Cricetulus griseus: one gene and its partner. Each later gene encodes a partner of the first gene's protein in a complex. Links are inferred from orthologs where the notes say so. Each region holds a gene or a part of one and is shown on either strand. Other genes may lie near its edges.

Evidence for each region.
Region 2: Mybl2 (region 1) and Tfdp1 share a complex: the UniProt entries of both Homo sapiens proteins name them as parts of the DREAM complex. The link is inferred for Cricetulus griseus from reciprocal best matches to the Homo sapiens genes MYBL2 and TFDP1.

What each region holds. Positions count from the first base shown.
Region 1 is NC_048599.1:16,454,084-16,465,132, reverse strand, and holds part of Mybl2 (myb-related protein B), read left to right. Parts: intron 1-1,076; coding exon 1,077-1,148; intron 1,149-2,256; coding exon 2,257-2,349; intron 2,350-4,411; coding exon 4,412-4,632; intron 4,633-6,365; coding exon 6,366-6,525; intron 6,526-11,049. UniProt on the Homo sapiens protein: Transcription factor involved in the regulation of cell survival, proliferation, and differentiation. Transactivates the expression of the CLU gene.
Region 2 is NW_023276807.1:67,447,389-67,459,141, reverse strand, and holds the start of Tfdp1 (transcription factor Dp-1), read left to right. Parts: upstream 1-6,325; 5' UTR 6,326-6,453; intron 6,454-7,142; 5' UTR 7,143-7,205; coding exon 7,206-7,217; intron 7,218-11,753. UniProt on the Homo sapiens protein: Can stimulate E2F-dependent transcription.

The DNA of each region.
Region 1 (11,049 bases):
ACAGGTCCTGTGGAAATGAGTGCTCTTAACCAGTGAGCCATCTCTCCAGCCCCTTTTAATTTTATGTATTGTTATTTTTGTGCCAGAGAGTTGATGTGTACTACAAGTTTCCTTTGTTGTGTGTCTATTGAAATAACTTTTGGGGGTCAGTTCTTTCCCATTTGGGTACTAGGGATTGTTGTCAGGTTTAGCAAGTGCCTTTATCAGCTGAGCAGTCTTTCTGGTACTTTATGGTTTTGAGACGGTTTTTGTTTTTTAGTTTTTGTTTTTGTTTTTTTTTATGTGGGATTTATTTTTAATGTATGCTGGGCAGGCCTCCCAATTTTGTTACACAGCTGATAATTTCTTACTTTTCCTGAAGTAGGTGCTGGAGATGGAGTGCAGCTTACACTAGGCGAGCATTGTAGCAGCTTAGCTGCATTCCCAGCGCTAAGTGGGAAAGTGAATTGTTGTTAGTTTGTGGAATTTTGTTTTTGATTTGAGGTGGGCCTCTTGTATTCCAGGCTGTTCTGGAATACTAGCTAGCTGTATACTTTAGGATGGCCTTGAACTCCTGATCCTATTGTTTCAAGTGCGGAGCTTAAAATAGATGAGCCCCCACTCCCATTCTGTTTTCTGAAGTTTCCGTACCCTGAGGCAGTCCACCGATACTTTGTAACAAGCACATTGGGCCTTGCTGATCTGCCTAAGTGCCTCTTCATGGAAGAACTCTCTGAATCAATCCTCCTGGCCTGCCACTGTCAGCCTCTCTAGCCGCATCTCACCACCCTTCCCCAGTCTAGCTGTCCTTTTTTTTGTTACTTTTTAAAACCTGTCTGCGCACCTGCTTGAAGAGTTAATCACCTTAGCTCCCAGCATATCCCCCAGGGGAGCGGCTATTCTTGTGTCTGTTGCCTGAGGCTTTGATTACCATCTTCCTCCGTTTCAGGCAGATGTGTTGCTGCCTGCTACTGTGTCTAAAATGGGGCACTTAGTAGGCATTCAGTTCCAGAATGAATGTCAATATGGTGGTATTGTGGCACCTTAAAACATTGCACACATGTGAGCTAAATCCTGTGTCTTTCTTACACTGGCAGGATGAGCAGCTGAGGGCCCTGGTGAGGCAGTTCGGACAGCAAGACTGGAAGTTCCTGGCTAGCCACTTTCCTGTGAGTATCTTCCCCCAGGCAAGGGCCTGCTGCAGCATGCTTAGAAAGCAGAAGTGAGGCCTGGAGGCTGGGCCGAGGTGGTGCACACCTTTAATCCCAGCCTGCGGTTGGGGGCGGGACACAGGGCAGAGGCAGGCAGATCTCTGAGTTTGCCACACAGAAAAATCTGTCTCGGGGGAAAAAAAAAAAAAAACCAAGCCAAAAAACCAAAAGCCAGAAGGCACCCAGTGAGAAGATTGCATGCAGCTGCTTTAGCATAATTGAGGTCCCAGGCCCAAAGGCAGTTTTGTATTTCTTCCTGCAAGGCAGGAGCACCTGGATACTGACCTATGGACCATCAATTTGACACTGGGGGGTGGGGGGAGACCTTTGGCAGACTTCTAGCTGAGGTTCCTGTGCAGGTGGCTGGTACCACAGCACTGAACATCCTGAGCCCTCTGGGGATGAGTCTTCCCTTCCAGGACTGCAGGCATCTAGACAGCACAGTGCACAAGGCTGCAACTCGACTGCTGGGGTTTGCTAGGCATCTCAGGGCGAATCTTCATGCTTCTTTCTGTGTCCCCCCATCCCCTTTCTCCATTTTTTCCTTGTAATCTGAACTCTGTAAAGAATAAAAAACGTGGGGCTGAAGAGGTAGCTCAGTGGTTAAAAGCACTGGCTACTCTTCCAGAGGATCCTGGTTTGATTCCCAGCACTCACAGCTGTCTGTCTGTTCCAGGACATCCAACACCTTCACACAGACACGCATACAGGCAAAACACCAATGCACAAGAACTAAAAATAAATCATTAAAAATAAATAAAAATTTCTCCAAGAAGAAAGCAGGAATCACTAATAAGTTCCACAAAGCTTTTGTAGACTTTGAGATAGTACACGTCACACACACAAGGTTCAGAGGATAGGAGGTTCCTTGCCACAGGGCCTGAGTTTATCCTTTGAAACAAAAATAATGCACCTGTGTTGTGGTAGGTCAGCCTCTAGTATGTGGTGGGTGCCTGGCATAGGACACAGCTACCTGATATATGTATGCCTGCATCCTGGCCCCTGAGTTCAGGACTCAACCAGAGTTCAAGCTTATGGTTCCACAATTATTTCTGTTCTATCCCAGAACCGCACAGACCAACAATGCCAGTACCGGTGGCTGAGGGTTTTGAATCCAGACCTTGTTAAGGGACCATGGACCAAAGAGGAAGATCAGAAGGTAAGTGCTGGCAAAAGGACTGCATGCATAGTGGGCTGTCACCACTGCCAGTGAGTCAGGCACTGAGATGTCTAACATCCCCATACCACTCTGCTTTTGTCCTACGTGTCTTCAGGGGAGTGTGTGTGTGTGTGTGTGTGTGTGTGTGTGTGTGTGTGTGTGTGTGTGTGTGTGTGTGTGTGTGCGCGCGCGCGCGCGCGCGCGCGCGTGTAGAGACAGGTCAGCCTTGTAACCCTTGACTAGTCTCATATTTGTTGTGTAGCCTAAGCTGGCCTTGAGCTCACAGTTGCTTCTCAGACCTCAACTTCCAAGTTCTGGACTTATAGTGGCCACTTTACCCCATGAATTACCTAGCTTTTAACTGGTAACCTTACCTGTCACATAGAAAATGGAAAGGTAATGTGTGCATGCTCTCCTCCATTGAGCTTACCTCCCCTCTAACCCCTTCTGGTGTTTTTTTTTTTTTTTCTTTTTTCAGACAGGGTCTCAGCCTGGGCTGGCCTTAAACTTGCTATGTAGCCAGGGCTGGCCTTGAACTCCTTGTCTATCTTGAACTTCTTGTCTATCTCCCATGCGCTAGGATTACAGGTGTTTGCCACATTTGGCATTTTAATACTTTATTTCTTTAGCGTCCATAGTCCTGTGAGGTGGGTTGTTTTCCATGTTAAAAGTGGGTAAACCAAGGCATAGAAAGGATTTGATATTCCCCAAGACTATGATCACTCCTTTGTAGAGCTCTGGTGCATATCCCTGGTGTTAGCCCATAAGATACCATTTCACCTTGGTAGGCACAGCACCCAAGAAAAGCAGGGGATAAAAGCATTGTCATTGTAGATGCGTACTCCCCTTCAAATGAGTTGTGATAAAGGAAAATTTTAAATCACAGCAAGCTGGGTGTGGTGGCACATGTCTGTAATCCCAACGCTGGGAAGGTGGAAGCTGAAGGATCAGGCATTTAAAGCCAACCTGGTCAACATAGTGAGACCTTGTCTCTTATTTTTTTTTAACTACGGAGAAATGAAATAGAATATTTCCACACAAAAATTCCCTTTTGTTTTCTGTAAGCATCTACTCTTCCCTGATTGTGGCTGTGTGCACATGAAACTGTTTATCAAGAACTGAGGAAGGAGCCTGGCGGTAGTGGTGCACACCTTTAATCCCAACACTTAGGAGACAGAGGCACGCAGATCTACAGAGCCAATTCAGCCAGGGCTACCCAGAAGAACTCTATCCAGAAAAACAAGGAATTGAGGAGGGCCTAGCTTGGGTAGCTATGATGTTAGGGTTTGTGTTCTGAGCAAAAGAGCCTTTTTTGTTTGTTTGTTTGTTTTTGTTTTTCTGAGACAGGGTTTCTCTGTGGCTTTGGAGGCTGTCCTGACACTCGTTCTTGTAGACCAGGCTGGTCTTCAACTCACAGAGGTCCGCCTGCCTCTGCCTCCTGAGTGCTGGGATTAAAGGCATACGCCACCAACGCCCAGCCAAGATTCTATTTATTTATTATGTATACAGTCTTCTGTCTGCATGCTAGCAGAGGGCATCTCGTTCAAGGTGGTTGTGAGCCACCATGTGGTTGCTGGGAATTGAACTCAGGACCTCTGGAAGAACAGTCCGTGTGCTCTTAACCGCTGAGCCATCTCTCCAGCCCTGCAAAAGAGCCTTTCTAAGAGGTGATTGAAGACTGAAGTCTAGCTCTAGGTGGCATGCATGACCTGGAGCTCTCCCCTCCCAATTTCCACAGAGGACTTTAAATGACCCTGTAGGGGCTGGAGAGATGGCTCAGAGGTTAAGAGCACTGGCTGCTTTTCCAGAGTTCAATTCCCAGCAACCACATGGTTGCTCACAACCATCTGTAATAAGATCTGGTGCCCTCTTCTGGCCTGCAGGCACACATGCAGGCAGAAAACTGTACACATGATAAATAAATACATTTTCAAAAAAAGTGACCCTGTAGTGTGATTGGGGTTGACCTTTTTACAGTCCTGCAAAGTGAGACCCACTGGATGTGGCAGTGCTTTAGTGGAGGTGATTGAGGGGCTGTTCCTTCACTGATATTTTTTTCAAGGTCATTGAGCTGGTCAAGAAGTATGGCACGAAGCAGTGGACGCTGATTGCCAAGCACCTGAAGGGCCGGCTGGGAAAGCAGTGCCGTGAGCGCTGGCACAATCACCTCAACCCCGAGGTGAAAAAATCCTGCTGGACTGAGGAGGAAGATCGCATAATCTGTGAGGCCCATAAAGTGCTGGGCAACCGCTGGGCTGAGATTGCCAAAATGCTGCCAGGGAGGTGAGCTATCTTCTGGTAGGTAGGGTGCAGGTGGGGGGCTGTTCCAGGATGTGAGGCCCGTGCTTGATGGAGTGACCTGGAGTACCGTGATCTTCCATATTCAACTAGCCTTGTCTCCAGGTCTCCCAGAGACCTGCATCAGAAGGAGGAAACTAGGTCTAAAAAGACAGTACCAGAAAAGGCAGGTTGTATCCTGACTATTAAAGGGAATATAAAGGAAACACTAGTTTCTGTCACCATTTACCACTTTGTACTAAATCAGGCTCTTGTTTGATTTTAGAGATAGGGACTTGCTGTGTATGCCATGTTGGTGTTGAGCCCAGGTTGACTTCAAACTTGTGACCTTGGCCTCATGAGTACTATGGATGTAGGTGTGCCCCACCATGCCTAGCCAGTCTCCATATTCATGAATGATTTGTTGTTTTTAAGAATATTATACTTGTGGGTTCTTTCTGCTCTGTGCACTGTTTCTGTCTGTTGTGGCCACAGTTGCTGGGTTGTATCTGCAGTCAAATGTCCTAACACTGAGCTGTACCCCCAACACAGCTGGGGGTATTTTTGTTCTTGTTCTTGCCCCCTCTCCCCCACCAGGGTTTCTCTGTGGCTTTGGAGGCTGTCCTGGAACTAGCTCTTGTAGACCAGTAGACTAGGGTGGTCTCGAACTCACAGAGATCCGCCTGCCTCTGCCTCTCGAATGCTGGGATTAAAGGCAAGTGCCACCAAGGCCCGGCAAAGCTGAATTATTTTAAAAGAGGAAACATCGAGGAAACTCCCTCTGTAGCCCTGTTCCTGCCAGGAGGTCAGGGTCAGGAGCTGGAGGTTGGGCAGATGCTCTGCTTAATCTGTGCCTGTCTGTGCTCCTCAGTCTGGTTACTCCAGTCCTGGGGCTCCTGGAGTTCTGGGAGGAGCCTTGGGATGAATTGACTCTAGATAGAATCTTCCTGTAAGGTCAGTTTGGTTTGGACTCCCAATCTCCTGGCCTGGCTGTTGCTCCCCTGACCTCTTTCCATCTTCTGAAAACTTCTAAAATATAATTTGCTGCCACTTCCCTCCCTGTTTTCTCAGCCTTACTTTGCTCTTGTTTTCTTGTGTTTTGTTTTGAGTCCCTCCTTTGTCACGGCAGTGTGATCCTGGGAGGAAGAATAAAGAGGAGGCCAGGTGATAGTGTCTTTTCATAACTTTAGTCTCAGTGTGTTTTTGAGGCCCTGTCTTGTTTCTTGGTTGGGGACTCAGAGTCCCTTCCCTGTGTGGTGTTGGCCTTGCGCATGCCAGTAGCCTCACCTCCATCTGCAGTCACCTTGGTTGCTTGGTCCTGAGTGGGTCCTGAGCTACCACTCTTCCCCCTTCCATTCCCACAGCTGCTGGGCTCTGACAGGATTCCCCCCACCACCCCCACCACCACTCTGACAGCTTGCATGCCTCGCTGCCTTGCCCTGTTGTGAGGCCCACCAGCTTGCTGTCAGTTCTCACTGCTGCTTCTTCAGAGAAGCTTTCTGGGTCAGTCCAGCTTGCACTTAATCCTGCCTTGAGTTCTGCACTAGCTTATTCCACGGAAATGTGTGGAGATTGCTAAGTCATGAGGGCTACAGACAGACTTCATTGTAGCATTGACCAGTGCTTTTGGTGCATTCGGCCAAACCTTCACTTACACATGTGGGAGAAGCTGCAGAAGGCTGGAGAAGCCTCCAAGAGACGGAGAGCTTCGTGTCAGAGGCTCCTGGATTTCCCCACAGGACTGACAATGCTGTTAAGAATCACTGGAACTCCACCATCAAGAGGAAAGTAGACACAGGAGGCTTCCCAAGCGAGTCCAGAGACTGCAAGCCCGTCTACCTGCTTTTGGAACTTGAGGACAAGGACCGCCACCAGAGTGCCCAGCCCCTGGAAGGCCAGGTGAGTGGCCGCCTGTGGCACAGTCTCTCGGCTCCATTCCAGGGTGGTGGTTTTGCTTTTATTCCCTGGTTATCTGACCCTATCTCCTCAATAACTTCCCCAGAGCCACTCACTCATTTCTACCCTGAGGTGTGAGTGTGGCCATCATGTTTCTAGGTCTTTCCTTGTGACAACCTACCCCTAGTTTGCCTGCAGGACAGGAAAGAGGTCATATAACATTCCTACCCCTTTCAGCAACTTTTTTCTCAAATGCCTTTCCAATCTACAAACTGAAAGTGTCCTTGCTATTTTTTGGTTTTTCAAGACAGGGTTTCTCTGTGTAGCTTTGGAGCCTGTCCTGGCACTCGCTCTGGAGACCAGGCTGGCCTCGAACTCACAGAGATCTGCCTGTCTCTGCCTCCCGAGTGCTGGGATTAAAGGCGTGCACCACCAATGCCCGGCTGTGTCCTTGGTATTTTAAAAAATTATTTTTATAGCCAGGTAGTAATGGTGCATTCCTTTAATCCCCAGTACTTGGGAAGCAGAGGCAGGTGGATCTACATGAATTCCAAGCTATCCTGTCTACAAAGGGCTACACAGAGATAACATGCCCCCAAAAATAAATAAAATTCAGTTTTATAGATCTCTGTGTGTATGTTCGTTAGAGCCAAAGTGGAGGACAACCTGTTCATGGTGTTTTTTCTTTTTGTGTTTTGCTTTTTTTTTTTTTTTTTTTTTTTTTTTTTTTTTTTTTTTTTTTTTTTTGGTCTTTTGAGACAGGGTCTCCCTCTGTAGCTCTGTCTGTACTGGAATTCGTTATGCTGACCAGGCTGGCCTCAGACGCTTGGATCCTACTGCCTCTGCCTCCTCGTACTAGAATTAAAGGTATGCACCACCATGCCTGACCTTCAGGGGCCAACTTGTAGGAGCCGACTGTCTCCTCCTATCATCTGAGTTTCAGCTCATTTACCTGCTGAGCCATCTCTCCAGCCTGTGTATGTGTGCACCATGTGCCTGTAGGAGCCCACAGAGATCAGGTGAGGGCACCGGATCCCCTAAAAACTGAAGTTACCGGAAGGTTGTGAGCCTCCATGTAGGTTCTGGGAACTGAACCGGGATCCTCTGCAAGAGTAGTAAAGTACTCTTAGCTGCTGAGTCATCTCTCTGGCTCCTCATTTGCCATTTTAAAAAGGGTCAGATTTATTGAGAGAAAACATGGCATTCAGCATATATTCTGAATTATGTATTTGTAGCCACTTTGCCACCTCCATTCCAGTCATTCCAGTGTTCACCTGTTCATATACCACCATGGCTCCCCATTGCCATCTACAACTGTGGTTCTCAACCTGTGGGTCGTTTTTCATGGTATGGTGGGGGGTTGGCTGGCCATTTCACAGAGGTCACCTAAGACCATTGGAAAACTCGGCCATCTACCCAGAATTCCTTTGTGTGTTTGTTTGTTTGTTTGTTTGTTTTTGGTCAGCATTTAACCTCCCGTTATCTCCCTGATGTGTTTCTATCTTATAATTTCTACCGTTAGAAACATTGAAACTGATGTGTGCATGTGCTAAATCTCCACTCCCCAAAAAACCAAAATATTTTTTAAAGATTTTCTTTATTATGTATACAGTCTTCTGCCTGCACGCCAGCAGAGGTCACCAGATCTCATTCAAGGTGGTTGTGAGCCACCATGTAGTTGCCGGAAATTAAACTCGGGACCTCTGTGCTCTTAACCACTGAGCCATCTCTCCAGCCCCCCAAAACTATATTTTTTTGTCTTAAAATAATTTTATTTGAGCCAGGCAGTGGCAGCACATGCTTTTAATCCCAGCACTGGGGAGGCAGAGACAGGCAGATCTCTGTGAGTTCAAGGCCATCCTGGTCTATAGAGTGAGTTCTAGGACAGGCTCCAAAGCCACAGATGATTTATGTTCATGTACATGTATGTGAGTCAATGGCACATGCATAGCTGTCAAAGGATAACTTTTGGGTCTCAGTTCTCCTTTTACCATGGATTCTGGAAACCGAACTCAAGTTGTCAGGCTTGAGTAGCAATCACTTTTGCCCACTGAGCTGTCTTGCTGCGCATCCTAACCACCCATCCCTGTGGTCCTTTTTTTGTTTGTTTTTGTTTACTCATGTAAAATGGTGACTTAATAGAATGGATTACAGGTTTTCAGGCTGTGATCCACCTAGTCCAACAGTGCCTGTCTACCAGTGGACAGTCCAAGAGTCAATCCAGTAGTTGTGCAGTCCACAAGACTGGGTGTCCCAGTTGTTCTTCAGGGTACACTGGAAACCTGAAGAAGTTGACTTCAATGCCATTGAAGGAATGGACTTGCAAGTGAGAGTGAGAGCAAGCTGGCAAAGGGCAAAAGCTTCCTTCTTCTATGTCCAGAAGGAAGATTAAAGGTGGATCTTCCCAACACAAAAGTTCTGAGTTAGAAGTGGTTCTTTCCACTTCAGATGATTTAATTAAGAAAAATCCCTCACAGTGTATCCAGCTGCTTGGGTTTTAGTTAATTCCAGCTATAGTCAGGTTGACAATCAAGGATAGCCATCACAAGTCTACCCATTATCAACTTGACACATACCTCCTTAAGTCATGTTTAATTTCCAAATGAAACAATAGCCAGGTTATAATTACATCTAACAAGATGAAACTATCCTCATGCAACCACAAATGCATCATCAATTTTAGAATAGGTGGAAATGTCCCCTTAATTGATGTTATATTACATGATAAAGAAATTGAGGACAGCCAGGCATTAGTTGTACATGCTTTTAATCCTAGCATTCAGGAGGCAGAGGCAGGCAAATCTCTGAGTTTGAGGACTGCCTCGTCTACAGAGTGAGTTCCAGGACAGCTAGGGCTGCACAGAGAGACCCTGTTTCTGACCATTCAGCCAATCCATTGGATGAATGAATGAAGTAAGTCTTGTCATTTCTCCTTCCTAACAAACTGTATGACCACGTGTACTGCCCAAAGTTCTGCCCACTGAATATTTCCCTTCTCCGGTGTCTTTCAGGGTTGTCCCAGAAAAGTGTTGTAATGCCGTAGCTGTCCACTTCTGGGTGGTGTCTGCTTAAGGTGCAGATCCATCAGTAAACTGGGCCCTATCTTATCAGTCAACCAATCATAGGGAACACACCATAAGGCTATAGGTGAATGTTAGGCAGCTGACAGCATTGTAACAGGAGTAGAAACCATAGGCATTTGGGCAACTTTCGTGTAATCTTGCTTGACCTTCAGGACTTGCTCAGGCCCAAACATACATATGAACTTCTATTTGACAATAAATTGCTACTGTGTATGTCCTACTTTATGACTTGGTGGGTCAGATAACATCCAGCTTATGATGGGCAGCACAGGGTTCATGGTAACTTAGTGTCCCATTGTTAAACATTCAGTTTCCACTAAGGCCCAATAGCAGGCCAAGAGCTGTCTCTCAAAGGTGGAATAATCGTCTGCAGATGATAGAGCCTTGCTCCCAAATCCCAAAGCTCTCCTCTGTGATTCACCTATAGGGCCTGTCAGAGGCTCCAAACAGCATCTTGTCTGCCACTTGACACCTCAAGTAACCATCGGGTCTGCTGGATCATGTGGTCCAAGTGGTAGAGCAGCCCGCACAGCAGCCTGGATTTGTTGAAAAGCCTTGAGGAGCCTTCTGTTCAGGCCCCAGGCAAAGCTAGCAGCTTTCAGAGTCTCTGGCTTTATGGGCCAAAGTGATAGACCCAAGTGGGGAATGTGCTGTGCCTAAAATCCAAATAGACCCCACTAAGCTTGTTTCTTTGGTGAGAGGGGCCACATGGAATGACTTCACCTTAGGTGGCACTAATTTCTGCATGCCACCACCACTCACACCACTAGATTTCTAAGAATTTCACTGTTAGAAGGCCCCTGGATTTTGGCTGGATTTATTCTCCATCTGATGCGTATATGTGTTATCAAGTCCCAAGTGGTAGCTACCTCATTCATGCTCACTTTGTTTAGTCAGCATCATGGCATCAATACAATGCACCTTGTGATATTTTGTGGAAGAGACACATGAACAAGATCCCTTCTGAGTTATGACACAGGACTGGAAAGTTAATGTATCCTTGAGGTAAAACTGTAAAGGCATACTGCTGCCTTGCCAACTGAAAGCAAATAGTTCTGACAGTCCTTATGGACAGGTACTGAAAAAGCCGAGCTGCGTACCATGTACCTCAGGAGATGTGTTAACCTGCTCAAGTAAGGACACCACATCTGGTGCCACAGCTGCAGTTGGGGTCACCACTTGATTGAGTTTTCAGAGTCAGCTGCCATTCTCCACTGCTGGCTTAACAGACAACGAAGGATTAATTTTCTCAATCAAAGGGGGAAAGGCAATATTTCAAGGGGTGGGGCGGGGTGTGCATCTTCTACTGAGGGTGGAGAGACTACTTCCTCAGGTGAGATAAGCCCATGAGAATCTGAGGGGTTCAAAGTTGTCAGCTTCACTAGGGTCCTCCCACACATCCCCTTCCCAAGTTATAAGATCCCATTCTTTTACTTTACTTCAG
Region 2 (11,753 bases), on another chromosome or scaffold:
CTTTATTAACTGATTAACTGTAAAAGATTTCTTGACTTCCCACACATACAGTTATCTTCTGAGAATAAATATGTCTTCCTATCCAATATTTATGCCTTTCAATTTTTTTGTCTTACCTTTTAAAATGTTTTTGGTAGTCTATCCCCCACAGTGTTCTTGCCGGCGTGGGTGTAGTCTATCCCCCACGGTGCTGGGGTCGGCGTGGGTGTAGTCTATCCCCCACGGTGCTGGGGCCGGCATGGGTGTAGTCTATCCCCCACGGTGCTGGGGCCGGCATGGGTGTAGTCTATCCCCCCATGGTGCTGGCATGAGTGTAGTCTATCCCCCACAGTGTTGGTGCTGGTGTGGGTGTAGTCTATCCCCCACGGTGTTGGTGCTGGTGTGGGTGTAGTCTATCCCCCACGGTGCTGGTGCCGGTGTGGGTGTAGTCTATCCCCACAGTGTTGGTGCCGGCGTGGGTGTAGTCTATCCCCCACAGTGTTGATGTGGTGTAGTCTATCCCCTACAGTGATGGTGCTGGCGTGGGTGTAGTCTATCCCCCACGGTGTTGGTGCTGGTGTAGGTGTAGTCTATCCCCCACGGTGTTGGCGTGGTTGTATGATGGCCATGTGAGAGTGACAGTGTGGCCTGCCAGGGTTCTTATGTGCAGGTCAGAGGACAACTTTCAGGGTCTGTTCCCTCCTTCCACCGTGTTAGGACAGGGTCTCCCTGGTTGCTTCTGTTGCTCTCACTCTTTCTACCGAGGCAAGCTGGCCTGTGAACTTCTGGGTGATTTTCCTGTCTCTACCCTGTCTCTCTATGGGACTGCTGGGATTACAGACACAAGTCCCTGCATCAGGCTTTTGGAGTTCTGGGGATTGAACTCTTGGAGTCAGGCTTGTTCAGGCAACATTTTTACCCACTAAGCCATATTGCCCACCCCTTTTTCTAGTCTTATTGCACTGTTTAGGACTTCCGATTTATGCTGTAAAGAAGAGGTTGAAGCATAAAATACCCACATTTTTCACATTTTCTGTTTTTGTTTTTTGAGAGACAGGGTTTCTCTGTGTAGCACTGGCTGTCCTGGATCTTTCTTTGTAGACCAGACTGGCCTTGAACTGATAGAAATCTGCCTGTTTCTGCTTCCCAAGTGCTGGGATTAAAGGCCTGTGCCACCACTGCCTGAATCATGTATCCACATTTAAGCAATTATTATCATATTTTATCGAACATTGGAAGATAAATTGTCAGATCATAACACTGTGCCTAATTTCATAACCACTCTCTTCTAAGTTACCCTATGAAAATACCATTGTTATACCTAACAATTCATTCTTTATAGCTTTAAAAGGGGTGCATTGAAATGTATTTAATTAAATAATTGTTATAATAATTAAATTCACTTATGTGTATACTGGGTTTTCCTTTTTTAAAAACTTTGATACAAATCCACATATAAAGCTTATCTTTTTTTTTTTTTTTTGAGACAAGGTGTCTCTACATAGCCCTGGCTGTCCTGGAACTCACAAACTCACAGAGACCTGTCTGCCTCTGCCTGTCAGGTGCTGAGACCAAAGGTATGCACTATCACACCCAGTGGAAGTTTATCATGTTAAGTGTACAATTTACTAGTGTTAATTTACAATGTTTCGTACACATTACTATCATCTGTTCCTAAAACACTGATATCATTGCAAACAGAAACTCTGCAATTACAGGGAGGGACTATACATTTCTTGCTACCAACAGAGCCAGTACTTATTCTGACTTTACCTATGCTAGTAACTCACAAATTTATTCTTTTGTATCTGGCTTATTTTACAGTATAATGTCTTCAAGTTCCACCCATATGGTAGCATATGTCAGAATCCTGTTACTTTATATGGCTGAATATAGTTTATGTGTGCATATGTAGTATTTTGTTTATTCCTTCCTTTGTCAATGACAGGGCTACCTTTGTATATCCAGGATAAATTTCAAATGGTCATTATTACAGGAGCATAAATGACCTCGTAGGGGGCATGGAGGCTTTTGTGCTCACAGACATGCACAGGGGGACCTGGAATGTTAAACAAAAAGGGTTGTTCCTTTTGGGGAAGGAATGCAAAACCTGTTTTATACCCAGAAGGCTAGAGTGGACATGATTTCTAGCCTGGTGACCTTTGCGCAATCAGAATGGCGGAAGACTTTCTGGCACCACGCCCTCCTCCAGACCCTTCTTGTAAACTGGTTTTTCTTAGTCAATCCATGGAACTCATCTTTACGGAATGTATCACATATAGTCAATATATAGATACTATCTTTTTTAGGTAAGGTGTCACATGTGCCTTGCAAAGAGTTCATTGTAGTCACTTCTCTGTATTTAGCTTGTTTTGTTTCTCAAAGAGATTTAGACATGCTTTGTTTTGCACATGGAATTGAGTTAATCATCACAAGAAAAATTTTCACTGAATTGTGCTGTGTTTAAATATGCCCGAACTAAACAACTCAGATTCAGACTCGGCCACTGAGTTGTGTCAAGCTGAACTGTCTCCTAGCCTCCTGTGGCTCATCTCTCTGTTACCCGTGAAGACTGCAGACATCCCCGCATGACCCAAAGACAGCTACATCATCAAAGACCACCTCAGAGACAACTCTTGAAAACTGGAAACCCAGAGCTTATCGCACAATTTGCAGGCATCTCAACAGTTGAAATGTGTATTTTTCTGTAGCTCGGTTGGTTAGTCTCTTCCAGATTGTTGGGGTTGTCTCTCATCACTCCTTTCTGCTTACATAAGCTTGGGGAGGGAAAAACCTAGTGTGTTTGGTTTCAGGGACTTCCTGAAGCTCTTCAATTGTTTACTTCCTGACTTTTTTTTAAGATTCATTTTTTTTTTGTATATGCATGGGTGTTTTGCCTGCATGTATGTATGTGCACCATATGTATGTCTGGTGCCTAGAGGCCAATAGAGGGTGCCAGATCTCCTGGACCTAGAATTACAGATGGTTATAAGCTGCCATGTCCTCTACAAGCACAGCAAGTGCTTTTTAACTTTGGGGCCATCTCTCCAGCCCCTACTTCCTGAGTCATAAGGACCCTTCCTTCAGAACATTAGGGATCTTCCCCACTGGTGGAAATGCTACACAAAAATCCCATTTTGCTCTTTGCCTCCCAGTGGTGAAGAACAGCTCTCCTCGGCTACATTCTTCTTCCCATCATGATATTCTGTACATGTGTTTGGGACCAAATGGCCGAAAACTGAAACTTCTGAAACCAAGCGCCAAAGTACACCTCTCCTTGCTTAAGTTAGTTCTCTCTGGTGTCTTTGTCACAGTGAAGACAATGGTAACTCAGGTACATATTGGAGAGTGTGTCTTCTTTGAAGTCCATTTATTGTAGTGTGTCTTGCTTACTCATCACCCAAGAAACAGGTCTGTTTATCACAGATTAAAAGCAGAAATCAATCCATCTTGACCCTTCCCCCCAGACCACACATTTTGTGCATTCTCTGGTTCCTCTGTTCAGCCTGGTTTCTGCATCCTGTCAATATGGCTTCCCGAGAACACTTTGAGTTCTGTCTGTATCCTCCAGTGAATTGAGTTAATGGCTGTTGTCATGTGAAGTCACTCCATGTAGTTAAGAAACTTGCCCTTGTTAAATATACACAAGAGGCAGGTGCCACTTCCCATCTTAGAGACCAGGATGGTGGTTTTCTTTTGTTTTCCTGTTACCTGGGGGAGGGGAAAAGAGGGGAGGGGAGCCAGAATTGGAGGACTCCTGGCCATTTGAAGGCCTCCATGCATGATTTCAATTCTGGCACGCAGAACCAATGTTAATTAAATGCTTGACAGCTTAAGAAGGTGGGGCTTAGCTGAAGTGGTAGGAGCAGGTGTAGTCAGCATAAAGGTGGTTAATTGTAAAGCCATGCGAAATAGGGGTGTCCAGTAATGACATGTTGCATATGACTGGGGGAGGCCTTTGGTCTGTGCTCCTCAAGACTCTTCATAGATGTTAATTAGCCCAGCACTTGGTACAGCTCTGACCTCTCTATTACTAATCAGCTGGCTGGGGTCATTCTGCTTTACCCAGATCACATGATTGGGCAAGGAGACGATTCTCCAGCTCTAGTAATCCTGGCCCTTACATGCCCAATGTTTATGGGATGGACTGGCAGATCCAGAGGCTTACAACTGTCTCCTGAAAACCAGGGGCCTATCACTCCATGCTTCAGAAGCCAGAGGTTTACGGCTCCAAATACTGAAGTTGGAGGTTAAATATTCTGGAATTTAACCACCAGCAGCCACAACACTGGCAGCTCCTGGAATCCTTAGCTTCCATCGACAGCAATGGCCAGTGTCTGCTAGTGCTGTAACTTTGCATGGGTGCTGGGAACCTCAGCACCTAAGTGACTCCTGTTGCAGTTTTCAACCCTAGAGTAAGACCATTACCCCTCTTCCAGTGTCTGGTACTCTGTTTCTCCTCTCTGCCTCGTCATCACCTTTGTCAGTCCTGGCTCTTGTCTCTGTCTCCTGAGTATGCTGTTGTTCTTGCCCCACTCACTCTCCGGAACTCTTCAGAGTCCCCCTGGTGGCTACTAGTGCTCCATTGGTGCTTATGGCTTATGTCATCATATTACCAGTCTAGCTTATAAAAATAAAAAAAAAAAAACGTGCATGATCACTCCAGAGACGTCTTTATTGGACAAAGGACTTACCCAACCCACTGAAAAAGTGAGCCAAATAGCTTGTTTATATAGTCAGGAATGAGGCGTGGCAAGGATGTTGGCACCAGTCACAGTCCTTCCCTGGGCCACTAGAGGAAATATTCCCCCACATCCCCCAACCCGTGTCCTGGTTGAAAATGGTCACTAGGGTTTACCAAGGCTTGTGATGGAAGGAGTCTGATGCAAGTTATTGAAATAACCATACCTTGAATATTGCCTTCTGGAATCATGGTTTTGCTTTAGCATAAGCAGCTGTGGTTGCAGTATAGCTTCCTCATGGCATCTAAGGAGTGCTCAGAACAGGATAGCGGCCAGGATGGTCCAGTCAGATGCTAAAGAAGGAAGGGCTGTTTGGCTGAGTCCTATGGCCAAGGCAGCTAGGCAACAGAGAAGGATGTGTCAATCTGGGAGTCAAATTGGCCTGTCCCTCAACATCTTAGCTTATTTAAAGGAAAGACAACCATGTAAAGGGTGCTTACACTAAACATCCCGTCACTCACATCCACAGTTCTCTGATAGCATTTAACAGCACTCTACTCTTGAGCCATATATTGTTGGGCAAAGCTGGGTCACTTTACCCAAACCATTTGGACTGATTTGGGAGGCCTAGCCTATTCTCTTCCCAGGCTCTCCAGCTTTAGTCCTAAGGTAGAGGTCTCCAATGTGGACTGTCTTCAGGCCTCAGGGTCTACCAGACCCCTCCTGGGATGAAGCCTACAGACTCTGAAATGACAGGAGCAAACACCCTTTCAGGATGCTTCCTGCCCTGAATCACTGACAACCCAAGTTCAGGCCATGTGGCTGTGGACGTCAATAGCTGAATAGTGGCAGGCTCTCTATGTCTCTGCAGTGTCCAATACGTGTGTGCATCCCAACAGTCTTCACTATGGCCTGTGTAAATGTACAAAACTCCTCTGCTGGGGGTGCACATACAGGTACGTTAAGGCACTCCTACAACTGACCTCTTTTTCCTCATGCGCACATAGCTGGCCCCTCTATTCGTACACACATACCTGTATTCTGTGCAGACATTAAACACAAATATACATAGTTGTATGTACAGGGGGTTTTCTGTATACATGTTCAGGCGTGCACGCCCGACTCATACTCTGCATATGCACGTGTATACAGCTATACTATCTGCATATACACAGGTGTGCCCACGTTACTCTTCTATGTGTACCTGCAGGTATGGCACACACCACAGATCTTTCTCCGTTGGCAGGTATCACACACACACACACACACACACACACACACACACACACACACAGACACACACACAGGCAAACACGTGGCCCTCTATTCCCTGCGCATGCACACAGATATGCATTCAGTTGGCCCTTGGTGTACACACAGAGGCGCGCACACACGTGGCCTCCATGCGCACATGCAGGCGCGCGCAGCACTTTTCAGTGCGGGCGGTCTCCAGCCGAGTCCCGCCGCACGCGCACGCGCGCACAGGCCCCTCCCCTATCCCAGGGCGGGTAGCACCGGCGAGAGGCGCGGGAGATGAGCGGCGGGAGGAGGAGGAGGAGGAGGAGGAGGAGGGCGCCGAAGGCGCGAAAAGGCGCGCAGGCGCGCTGCGCGGAGCGGGCCCGCCGCCGCCCACGTCACCGCGCCGCGCGCACGTCACGCCGGCCCGACGCTCGGCCCAGGGTGAGCCCGCGTCCGGCGCCGCTGGCTCAGGGCAGGGACCGCCAGGGCCGGACCTCCGGGCCGGCGCCCCCGCGCCCCCGTCGTCGCCCCGCGCGCCCCGCCGGCCAGCCAGGTGTGGCGGGGGCGCTGGCCGGCCGAGCGGGAGGGCGCGGGCTGGGCGCGCGGCCCCGTTCCCGCCCCAGCCCGGTTCCCGCGTCCGGCTGCATCCCGCCCGCCACCCAGCCTCAGCCCGGAGTCGGCCTCGACGCGGCGTGGCGTGGGCGGCGGGCAGGGGTCCTGGCCACCCTCCGGCTTTCTCCGCGCCAGCGCGCGGGGCTTGGTGGCCGGGCCTAGTGACAGGTGGGGCGGGCGGCGGGCCGGGAGCCCACCTGTCAGAGTGGTCGGCGGCTCCTTGGGGTCTTGGCAGCTCGAGGGCCTGCTGCGGCCCGGGGTTTGCCACGCAGTGTCGTGCCTAAGCTGGGGGCCTTGTGCCTCGGTGGGGCCTGTGGTCAGACGGGGCCCGCGCGCCCAGGTGGGGTGAGCCTGACGGCTGCGCCTTACTCTGCCAAGGGGTTGGGGTCTGGACCCTCTGCGAGTGGGAGCTGCTGGTGGCCGCAGGGAGCACTTCCATTTGGAGAGGTGACTTAAAATCCCCGTGTGGGACCTGCTTGGCTAGCTCTCCTGTCGGGATTGTGCAAGAAAGGCCCCTGCTGCCTGGAGGCCTGCCTCGTGCTGGTGGGGAGATGTTTCCTTTGAAATGCGATGTCTGTTAAACTTCTTTTTTCATTCTCTCTCATTAATTGTCTCCTTCCTTTTTGCCAGATAAGTCCGGTTTTTTCTGTGGCGGGTACGCAGTTACAGCCTTGATTTCCTGGATCTGGTAACATGGCAAAAGATGTAAGTATGATTGCTTCGTGCTGCAGACATGTTAGCTCACTGCTCCTTGCAGTTTTCTCTATGGCCGTGCGTGCATGGCCGTGGTTTATCCTCACATTTTACACGCAGGAGCTGGGATGGAGGTGAGGGATGGAGAGTCAGTAGGTGGGTGCCTCCCCCCTGCACAAGTGTTCTTTGTCATCTGAAGACTGACACGTTATTTGTGGTTGGATGATGTGGTCTTGATTTTTCCCTTAACCTATCTAGACAGTTTAAATTAAAAAAAAAATTGAATACACCTCTCAATTAAAATGAATGTGTGAGGGGGGTGTTGTGTGTTAGTGGGTTTCCACTCAGGACAGCTGTCAACATGGAACTTAGGCTGTACTTGTTTTATGTAGTACGCAGGACCGTAATTCAACTTTGATGGATTGAATATCAACAACTTGTTTGGGCACATTTTTCTCAGAAAGATGACATCTGGTGATTAATGAAACACGGTGGAAATGCTGGTTGGTTTAGCTTTATATTTATCTTGAAGCTACTGGATATTTTGAATAATTTTTTTTTTTGAAACAGATATGGAGAGTTAGGCTTTTAGGCTGCAAGATATAGTCTCTGTTGTTGGTTACATATATTTTTGCAATATCATCCTAACTCCTTCCAGCACTAATGATCTCCTTTTCAGTGTTCCTCAGCATTCACTGCCCTGTGAATGTTAGATTCCTGTATTTTCTGTGCAGCCTGGGAAATGCAGGCAGACGCGCTACATCATCTAGAGTTGTGCTCAGGTGTAGTGTGGCTGCGTCTATGGTGTGGGGCCAGGTACCGGTGGGTGCTGTGTCCTGTCCACTGACTTGAGGACTCAGCTATGCTTAATGATCCACATGGGTCAGACGGTGCCACTCTCCCTGTCATCAAGCACTTGGCTTGGGCCTGCTCTTTGGAGTTGTGTCACACCCTAGGAGATCTTGTATAGGTCACCTGAAGTCACAACCATATATGATACTGGCTTGATCTTGTTAGGTCCAGTTGTTTATCTACACCCATGTCCCCACTCTTCTCCATATGTATGCCCTAACATGTATGTGTGGGCTCAGCACATGCCCACAAAGTAACTAGATTTGGTAAATGGTTTGTAAATGGGATACTGGCCCCCATGCCTTTGTTAGGTCATGGTACTGGCACGATATTATTGCATTTTCAGTGAGCCAGCATGCTCAGAGTTTTGTCATTTTAGTTTTGCATCATTCACTCCCTTTCCATGTGCTGTGTCCCTGGGGAAAGGGGTGGTGCACTGTGAGGACAGGTGGTCAGGATCTCCCATCACAATGAGAGTCTGAGGCCAGCTGGTTTGGGGTTATCCATTGTGGTGTGGCTGGGCTGGTGCAGTGACTGAGTAACAGGGTGCTGGAGCTGACTCTCATCACCACACATATTCACACGCCACAAGCGTCTTCCCCAGTCAGAGGGGAATCAGAGACTGCAGACAGTCAAGGGTTGGGCCGTTCCTGTAGCCAACCATGTCTTTATATAGGATACGATACTTGTGTTTCAGAGAGGGACATTGTAGTCTGTGCTGAAGGAGAGGAAGTAGGCACCACTGAGTTTTCTAAGCACTTGATACTGGGGATGAAATCTAGCTGTAAAGTATAGCTGGACACCTGTGAGAGCAGAGGGGCTAAAGTCAAGCTCTGGGTCATGGAAGAGGACCAGGAAGGGTAGAGAGAAGACAACAAATAGCTAAGGGGCTTTCTGCCCCAGCAGATGCCCAGGCAGATGGGCAGGTGAGGGTTCCCTGTGAACTGCAGGCTGTGGCACAGGGCTGGCAGTTACCAGTGAACAGGATGGGATGACAGGAGCCGATTATGTTGACCTGGCAAAGGATTTCTCCCATGCAGGACAAGAAAGCTGATGTGGGAAGGCGTGGGAGTGGGCAGGAGAGTGAGGAGTGATGGTGGAAGTGGGGGTGAGTGCCTGCAGGTACTTGGAGATGCCTGCTTGCAGTGCTTTCCTGTAACACTGCAAATTGTCCCTGTGGAAGGCATGTGTATTGAATGAACCATGATGACCCTGCTGTAGGGGCTGGAGAGCCTGGTATGAGGGGGTATGTCTTAGAACATGAATGTCTTCTCCCAAGGTCAGGCTAATACTCACTGCCTGAGGAGTTGTGCTGTCTTACTGGGAAGACTGCATTTTTGGACTTGCCAATCTTCAGAAAGTTTCCACCTCATAGATGTGCCCAGAGGAGCATTTCCCAGATGACTATGAATTTGGTCATATTGACAATGAGGATTAACAATCACAGGTCTATCCCTTGTCAACCCCACACCAAACACATCATTTTAAATCTTAACATTCTATCCTTAGAGGTTCATCTCCTAAGGCAAGAAGCTTTTATACTTCATTGGCATGAGCCTCTACAATCTTGACATTTCTAACATTGTTCAAAACTCTAAATCCCAGGCTGTTGAGATGGCCGGCTTGTCAGACCTGACTACTCGAGTTTGCTCCCTGGGACCTACATGGTAGAAGAGAACTGACTCCCATAATTTGTCCTCTGATCTCCACGTATTTACTGCACCCTCCAATAGTGAAGACTGGACCAGTGCAGGACCAAAATTCAGTAGGACAAATACCAAACCATGCAACTCCATGTATGCTATCTTGGGATTGTGATGGAATCCTCTGGGCTGTGACAGGCTTGGGTCGCTTTGCCCCTTTAGTAACACTGCCGGTAGCACTTGAGGCTCTTTCTTGGGCCTGCTGCATTTTGTGCTTGCAACTTTCCTTGGCAGATGTTCCTTGGTCTGGTCCCGATGTATCTTGTGTCTTGAGGTCTCCGTTGCAACTTAGGCTTTCCCTTTCCAGCGTCATTCAGTGGCCTCTCAGACTATTTGCAAGGACTTCAGCCCTGCCCTCACTTATATTTTGCATGCCTATAAACCATCCCGAGGACAGTGCCAAGTTCTGCTACCAGCTTGAGATAGATGGCCCCTTCTACTATGGCTGCAGTGACCTTCTATGTCTTGGGAAAATACTTCTCTAAGTGGTTGTTTTCATTTGATGGCATTCTCAGTTCAAGCTTTTTCTTTGAAATAAGTTTTCATTTTCTTAAAAAAACAAAACACTATTATTTGTGGGAGAGTGTATATTTGTGCATGTATGTATGTATGTATAGATACATATAACTTTGTAGAATTATTTCTCTTTGCCTCTTCATGTGGGTTCTGGGGGACTGAACTCTGGTTGCCAGACTTGCTTTTACCTGCTGAGCCATCTTGCCATCTGGAGTTGGCGTTTTTTTGTTTGTTTGTTTGTTTGTTTTTTTACCAGTTAGACCTTTCTAGGAGTGAGTCTTGCCCTAAGGATGCTTTTCTTACGTGCTGACTGTGCCACAGCCTGGATGCCATGCTGTCTTGAAATTTCCTCTACCAGACAACTTAATCCATTACTTTTATGTTTGGCTTCACTCTGATTTTAAGGGCATGGCCAGATTGTTTGCTAGAAGGTAACACAAGTGGTCTCTAGCCCAGTTCCCAATAGAATCCTGGTTCCTCTCTGAAACTTCATGAGCCTAGCCTTCAGTGTCCACATTTCCACTGACATTCTGGTCTTTTCAAATGCTCACCAGAATGGACTAGTAATTTTTGCTTATAGCATTCCAGGCATTCTCTATACAACAGGCCTATACAACAGCAATGGCCTATTCCTCAATACCAGTTTTCCGTATTAGTTACTTTTCTCATTATTGTGACAAAAGCAACTTAAGCAAAGGTTTATTTGGCCTATAGTTTGAAGGAACCGTCATGCTGGTGAAGGTGTGCTGGAGGTGCTAAGCTGGCCATGTTGTGTCCGTGGTCAGAATGCAGAAAGATGTACGCAGTTGCCAGCTACTTGCCTTATTCCTTTTAGTCAGTGTGAGGCCCCAGTCCGCATGGTGCCGCTTACATTCAGGGTGCGGCCTCAAGTGAAACCTTGCTGAAAACAGACACCCAGAGTTGTACTCCTACAGCATTCCAAATCTAGTCAACCTAACAGTGACGATGAGCCATCCCTGGTATCCTGCAGACAAATTTCATTATTGTAGCCTTGTTTCCAACCTATCCTTTCTGTCTTTTTAGTGGTGGTTTGACATGTTGTAGAGTTGTAGACAGTTGCTACTGAAGAGGTAAGTTAATATGGGAAAAAACTACAATGTAGTTCAGTGGTAGCTGCCATAGCCTTTATCTACAGATTGAAACCTGCTTTATGAGAGGAGTCCACTTGCTTCAGTTTTCTGCATGCATTGTCCCCAGGATATCCAATTCTGATTTTATGGCTGGATGGAAAACAGAAAGACACTTGGACATGGCAGTCTCCTAGATTTCAAGTGATCTCTTCATAGCAAAGAGAGATGGTGTTGGTGTATAGGGCCAGGTTTTAGCTGCTCAAGTCTGGCGTGTAAAGGTTGTTCAGGAGGGCCTGTTGGCATTAGCATTCTGGGAAGAGGGAGGCTGGAATCTGGAGGTGGAAGAGCCCCTGGCCCTTTTGCCATGAACATATAGATTGCTGGGG